2 linked regions of the Stegostoma tigrinum genome follow. The protein of the gene in region 1 purifies or fractionates together with the protein of each later gene. This does not show direct contact. Links are inferred from orthologs where the notes say so. Each region holds a gene or a part of one and is shown on either strand. Other genes may lie near its edges.

Region 1 (3,752 bases):
ATGGAGCAGGCTTGGAGCCTGACTGGCCTACTCCTGTTCCTACGTTCACCATATCAGATTCTTTGGATTGTTAGCCAAGGAATAGGTTTTGCTGCTCAGATCACTCACGAGAGCTTCTAGCTCCACTTACAACACTAGCATTGCAGGTTTCAAGAACCTCACATTCAGAAGACAGCATCTCCAATAATCAAAGAATCATTACAGTGTGGAACAGGCCCTTCAGCCAAACAAGTCCACACCAACCCTTGGAGCATCCCAACCAGACACATCCCCCTAAAAACCCATCTAATCTACAAATCTCTGAACACTATGGGGCAATTTAGCATGGCCAATCCACCTAGCCTGCACGTCTTTGGACTGTGAGAGGAACCGGAGCGCCCGGAGGAAACCCACCCAGACACCGGCAGAATGTGCGAACTCTGCAACGACAGCCACCTGAGGGTGGAATCGAACCCGGGTCCCTGGCGCTGTGAGGCAGCGGTGCTAACCACTGAGCCACTGTGCTGCCCCAAACGCAGCACTGCCACGGAACAGTGAGCACCAGGGAAATGTGATCAGGGAATGGGTCAGCACGCACAGGGGCCAGGCTGGAGACCACATTCTTTCCGATCAGGCTGTTTGGAGCTGCGTGAACACAGCAGTCCCAGCAGCATCAGAGGAGCAGGAAAGCTGATCTGGACCCTTTTTCCTCTGTTTGAGAGACATTATTTACACACCTCTGGAGAAGGACAGACTTGAGCTTCTTGGCTCAGATGTGGGAACACTACCACCATGGCACAGGCACATTGCACCAGGGCTCTCCAACACGCGCCTCCTCAGTCAGCGCGGGATTGTCCTCCACGTGACGCGCCGACACCACGTGACGCGCCAGTCTGCGCCCGCCCACGTATTGTCCCCACGTGCCAGCCGCCAGCCGGGGCGGCTCAGTCCCTTCCGCTGGGGGGCGTGGTTAGGCATTTCCCGAGCCTCGCGAGAGTCTCTCCCTCTCCGTCCCACCCCTGCGCGAGAGTTTGTCAGTCGGCAAAATGGCGGCGCAGGGCTGTGCGGAGGAGCATCAGGATCCGGGAGAGAGGCCTCTCAACGGTGACGGCCCCATCCCGGGATTTAGTGACGCGGATAGCTTCGTGAAGGTTGGCGCTGTTGTATGCGGGTGCTGGGGGCGGGATCCCTGTCTCTTCTCCTTCCTTCGTGTGTTCTTCAACACGGAGGAGACATCATCAGCCCAGGGAGGGCGATGGGAGGCCGTCATTAAGATGTGTTCTCTCTCTTGCTGGATCTGTTGCCACGAGACATCATGTGCCTTCACTTCTTCGCCCCCCCCGACTGTATGCACTGTGCTGCCGTCCGACCAGGAGAGCACAACAGGGATGGTCATGAGCGATACATAAATGAAACGTGTAGAGCTGGATGAACACATCAGGCCAAGCAGCATCAGAGGAGCAGGAAAGCTGCTGTTTCTGGTCTGGGCCCTTCTTCAGAAATGACACCTTGTTATCTCAGACTCTCCAGCATCTGCAGTTCCTACTATCTCTGATCAGGCAGCAGCTCAAGATTGGGACGTGACTTTGGCCGTTTCAATTTCTCTGCCCTCGAACCCCACTCCCCTCCCCCACCAAGAACTGACTGCAATTTGTGTTCTCCAATTCAGTCCTGACTTTGTAGTCTAGCCATTGTGGTGCTGCTGTTGTCTGGCATGCTGAGCACTAGCTCTCAGGTGCCTTCCTTCTCCCTCTGGACCATAAGTCTTCCATCCAACATTGGGCTATTGTATTCACAACAGTCATTAACCTTATAAACCAAAAAAAATTGTGGTTGCTGTAAATCAAGAATGAGAACAGAAGGTGCCAGAAAAGCACAGCAGGTCAGGCAGTGTCTGTGAAGCAAAGAATCAGAGTTGATGTTTTGGGTCCATTGACTCTTCCTCAGAACTGATGGTAGCTAGGTTAATGTCGGAGATAGGTTGGATTTGGTGAGGGAGGCAGAGAAATTGAGGTGTCAATATCACGTTGACAGTTCTCCAGGAACAGATCAAACTTAGGTAAAAGACCAGACTGGGCGAAGGGGAGAAGACGCTTGTCTAAAGAAATGGGCATGGAGGCGAAGATGGCAGAAGAAGAGTTTGACGTCATGTCGTGCCTCAAGTTTGTTAAGGTTGGGATACAGAGGAATAAAACTGAGGCCTTTGCTGTGTGCAGAGCATTTAGCATCGGAGATTGGAAGGTTAGGAGGAATGGTGAATACACCTACCTCCTCATACCTCTTTCCAAAAAACCACAAACTGGACTGTCTGGGCAGACCCCTTGTTTCAACCTGCTCCTGCCCTACAGAACTCATCTGTACCTACCTTGACCTAGTCTTCTCTCCCCAGGTTTAATCCCTGCCCACATACATCCATGATACCTCTGACACAGATATACCAACCAGTTCCCAGCTGCGTTCAGTTCTGAAGAAGGGTCATTGAACCGAAAATGTTAACTCTGCTTTCTCTCATCGATGCTGCCAGGACTGAGTTTTCCCAGCAATTTCTATTTTTGTTGTCAATAATTGTGCCGAGGTATAAACTAAATAATTTGTCCTTATCGAAATCGTTAACCCAAGTATTGATTGTCAAGCTGTCATCAGAAAACAGTGTTGGAATTTGTTTTTCAGTCACTTCTTTTTAGTGATTTCATCTAATTGAGCAATTGACTGGGTTAGTTCCAAGAGCAGTCAAGAAGCAACCATGTTTGTGGAATTGAAATTGCATGCAAATTATCCTCAGTAAACATAAACTCCCTTTATTTGTTCAATGGGCTGTGTGTGGTGTTAGTGTCTGGTTGAACTGCTGCACTCAGTGGAGGGGAGGAAGTTAATTACATGCTTAATGGTAGTCTTGCTTCTCTGTTACTGGGATTAGTTTTATATCCCCGATCTATCAATTGATTTTAAATCCACTTAAACCCAAGCCTATGTCTGTGTTTTTGGATTTCTACTCCGCTGATGTTATCATTACACCATCTCTGCCTCAAAGTGATGCCAGAAATACTTTGACTTACTGTAATTGTTTACATTATAAATTATATACAAAACAACAGAGATCATTTCTGACATTTAGTTTATTTCCAACTCCGAGTTCATTTTCTGCTTTTTGAGAGGCAATTGATTGTCATTTGAATCTGAGATCAACTTCCTTCTCATCACCCTATAATTAATAGTGTCTAGCTGAAACCGCTTTGATTTTGTTCTGCTTTATTTTCCACACACATACAAAATAGGAGCAGCATGGGGCCAAAGTGTGGAACTGGAGGAACACAGCAGACTAGGCAGCATCAGAGGAACATCTGAAGAAGGGTTCTGACCCCAAAAGTCAACTTTCCTGCTCATTTGATGCTGCCTGGCCTGCTGTGTTCCTCCAACTCCACATTTTGTTATCTCTGACTCCAGCATCTGCAGTTCTTGCTATTCCAGCAACGCAGTGCCATTTGGCACCTCAACCCTGCTGTCCATTTCAATAACATCATAGCTCATCTGTTTATGTTTTGAATCTGTTTTCCCACTTACTTCCACTAACTTTGAGTTCTTGTAAGGTAAGAAAATCAATCTGTCCCTGCCTTAAAGATATTCAGTGCTCCCACTTACACCAACTTCTGAGACAGAGTTCCAAGTTGTTAAACACTCAAGAGAACAAAATTCTTCTCGTCTGTCCGAAAAGGATAACTCATAATTTTTAAATTCATATCACCTAATTCTCAATTTTCCTACTAGAAGAAATA
Region 2 (3,752 bases), on another chromosome or scaffold:
AAACATTGCTAAAGGAGACTAAAAGTTGACACTCTCTTGCACTCATGGGAACTAGGGTGAAAGAAATAGACTTGAAAAAAAGGATATGATGTCTCTTTTGCCATAACTGTTATTTGAATCCTGTTTCTGATAAGTACAAGATGAAAAGTTTCTGATCTCCTTCTAGCAATGTTAAGAATAGATCAAGGTAAGTATAAGTCAAGCATGTTGCATAAAGCAAGTTAAAGTTTTATTGCACTTTCCATAATTTTAATGTTACAAAAATTTACTTTGTAAACGTTTTGTGAATAATTTTTGCAGAAAAAGACAGCTCTGGTCAAGTTCCAATCATGTGATCTGGGAGGACGGAAGTTTCTTTATAAACAACATTAACCCAGATGTGTTCTGCTTTCACAATCTCCTTAAGTTGCAGGCCTTTTACCTTCAGTAAGGTATTCATACTCGATGAAGTGATACTTATGAACGTAAGAACAAGATGTGGAGAACCAAAGGATTCAATAGATATTTATTACAGCATCTGGCATCTGCACGTTACAACCACAAACGCTTGTGTGTCTGGGAATAAAGCAACACAATTCAGATGTAAACTGCAGTACAATTCTCTCTGAGCATAATGCTGCAAGAAGACACAGTAAAATGGAGACCGAGAATTTTATACCATCAGGCCCATGCAATGATTTTATGAGAATGTATATTTTTGCAATATTGGAGAGTTGACGACTATGAGGAGCCAGAACGCAAGTAGAGTCAAGGCCTGGGACAGATTGGTCATGAATCCTTAAAGGGCTGAATGGCCCACTCCTGCTTCTATTTCTTCCATTCTGATGCTGTCTCTGTCTCTTGCATCCTTGTTTGGATGAGCGCAAGGTGAAAAGTTTCAATTCAGTGACCCTTCGGGCTCAAAACTTTCAATCTGTTTCTCTCGCCACAGTTGCTGCCAGACCTGCTGAGTTTCTCCAGAAGTTTCTGTCTTCGTTTGAGAATTCCAGCATCTGCAGATCTTTGTTTTATTCCCGTGTTGAAATTTACCTGATCGCCGGGCTCGAGTCTGGATTGACTTCAGGACGCTACCCTCGATCTGAGGCTATACAAATGCACATTGTTGTTTATTGTCCTGGGAGGGGGCTCTACGATGGCGTCACGAGGAGGCGGGCGCAATGGTGACATCGTGCGGGGGTGCGCTGACGTCATAGAATGACTTCAGTGCGTCGACGTTGTGAGAAGGCGGGGTCTGCGTACTGACGTTCGACGTAGCGCCGCGACGCAAGGCAGGCCCAGTCACGTCTTCCCCGAGGAGGGATGGAACGGCCCGCAGCTGGGGCCGTCTCGCAGGTGGTGCTGCCTGGGGATGTGCTTACCTTCCCTCCCAACTCCGGGGATAGGGTCTTGTGCGGGCCCGGCCTGAGGCGACAGGGCTGTGGGCAGTTGTCCGGACATGCTCTGGTGGCCTGCAAGTCCGGCGTGCTCCGGCACAAGGAGCCCTCCGTCTACTGGGTGGAGTCGCAGCAGAAACGGGTGAGGGAGGCGGGTCAGATCTCTTCCCCCACAACGCTCACTAATGAGGTGTCAGGCCTAGGATGGGTGTAATGGGCCCCGGTGTAGGGGATGCTGGAGGTCCCTGTGGATTGTGGGATCCTGGAGGAGTATGAGTCCGGTGCAGTGGAGGTCCAGGCGGTATGATGCTGTGGGCTGGGGACAGTAGGGGAAAGGGGATTACGTTTTTCCCGGGTGGGGGAGGGGTGTTGTGGAAGTCCTGAGGAGTATGGACGTTGGGGGCTGGAGGGGAGGGGGGTACAGTGGTCACAGGTGTGGAGGGACTGGGTACTGGAGTTTGTGGGGTGTGGGAACTGGTGGTGTGGTGCTGGAGGACGTGGTGGGGAGGGAGCAAAAACAAAAAGTGCTGTGAAAGCTCAGCGGGTCTGGCAGCATCTGTGCAGAGAAATCGGAGTTAACATTTCAACAGCGACAGTATCCGCATTTCTCTTAGTTTTTATGGTGTGGAGGGAGATGAACTGGGTCTAGGGATTGAGGAGGGAGCAGTGTAGTAAATACATCAGTGAGACTTGAGTTGCTCTTTAATGAATCATGGCACTTTTACAAACTAATGTGCTTAAGATGTATCACCCATTCCATGGTGTAGGAAGAGAAAATCAACTTCTTATCCTTTGAGCAGTGCTGGAAGTGCAATTAGGTGCATACTGATTGAAGTCCAAATTAAATTCAGCTATTTTATATTCCACCCTGAACCCATCTGTTTGTTTTCTGGTTAGTAAATTGTTTAAGACATGAAAATTCATTCTGATATACAAATCTCCACATCAAATTACTGAGAAATTTGTGCAAGTTAGGAGATGATGTTTGGTCACTTCCCAGATTTATATGTTGAAGTATGTGGGAAGTGCTACTGAAGTTTACAGAAACAGAAATTGCTTGAAAAACAAGGTCTGGCAGCATCTGTGAAGAGAAACTTTTAGTCTCCTTTAGCAATGTTTAATGTATCAGGTCCAGTAATCCTCCTGCAGAACTGAAGCTTTGCCAACTTATTTGCACAGAAGAACTATTTGAATAATTGAGATAACAAAGTATGGAGCTGGATGAACACAGCAGGCCAAGCAGCATCTTAGGAGCACAAAAGCTGACTTTTCATCTAGGCCTGAAACATCAGCTTTTGTGCTCCTAAGATGCTGCTTGGCCTGCTGCGAATATCCCGCACCACACTTTGTTATCTTGAATTCTCCAGCACCTGCAGTTTCCATTGTCTCTGATCATCATTATATTTGAATAATTGTTGTTTTCACTCAAATTCTTGGTAAATTTTTGATTTTATGATGCCTGATGTGGTTCAAAAGCTCCCTTGGGCAATGTGAATATATTTGCCTTAAATAGAATGTAAGAACCAAAAGAACTGTGGATGCTGTAAATCAGGAACAAAAACAAAGTTGCTGGAAAAGCTCAGCAGGTTTCTGAGGAAGGGTCACCGACCTGAAACGTTAACTCTGTTTTCTCCTCCACAGATGCTGCCAGACCTGCTGTGCTTTCCCAGCAACTTTGTTTTTGTTCTTTAAATAGAATGTGCCTGATACCCTGAGAACACTGAACAAATTGGTGATTTTAAGCAGAGATTTCCATTGTTGCCTATTTATTTGCTGCTTGGAGTGCGTTTAAGAAATTCAGCTGCATTTTTTTCCAGAATTTGTAACTATAACTCAGAATTTAATGCCGAGTAAATTACATCGGAGAAGAATTTAAAAGTGTCCTTTTGCATTTTTTCAGTATGTGCCAGCTAAAGGAGAATACGTGATAGGAATTGTGACTGTGAAGTCTGGTGATATATTCAAAGTTGATGTTGGAGGAAGTGAGCAAGCCTCGTTATCATATTTAGCATTTGAAGGAGCTACCAAGCGAAATCGACCAAATGTCCAAGTAAGAATTTTTTGTAAAGTTTTAGTCTTAAACTAATGCTTAAGATGCAGATTAGTTTAGTATTCTGTGTAATTGTGATAGCTCTATCAGAGGTGTTGATGGTTTGGCTTGATGCATGATCAAATTTCTAATCGTTTTAATCCTTCTAAGGCTGATGACCTACCAACTGCAACAAGGTGACCAGGATCATGACTATCACTAATTTTAGGAAAGTTTATGTTTTAGAATTTTTAACCAATTTTGGGTATACATAAATTTTACCAAATACAGATATACAATAGCAAAAAGGCCAAAATCTGGGCATCTGAATGCAGAGCCATAGATTTGAC

Evidence for each region. Proteins that work in one complex are often made in the same cells at the same time.
Region 2: the proteins of exosc10 (region 1) and exosome complex component RRP40-like purify together in Homo sapiens (affinity purification with mass spectrometry; 8 studies listed by BioGRID and IntAct, counting the BioPlex papers as one, with this or other methods). This does not show direct contact. The link is inferred for Stegostoma tigrinum from reciprocal best matches to the Homo sapiens genes EXOSC10 and EXOSC3.

The regions. Positions count from the first base shown.
Region 1 is NC_081381.1:39,425,848-39,429,599, forward strand, and holds the start of exosc10 (exosome component 10), read left to right. Parts: upstream 1-1,002; 5' UTR 1,003-1,025; coding exon 1,026-1,130; intron 1,131-3,752. UniProt on the Homo sapiens protein: Catalytic component of the RNA exosome complex which has 3'->5' exoribonuclease activity and participates in a multitude of cellular RNA processing and degradation events.
Region 2 is NC_081354.1:15,917,400-15,921,151, reverse strand, and holds the start of exosome complex component RRP40-like, read left to right. Parts: upstream 1-1,237; 5' UTR 1,238-1,299; coding exon 1,300-1,515; intron 1,516-3,273; coding exon 3,274-3,423; intron 3,424-3,752. UniProt on the Homo sapiens protein: Non-catalytic component of the RNA exosome complex which has 3'->5' exoribonuclease activity and participates in a multitude of cellular RNA processing and degradation events.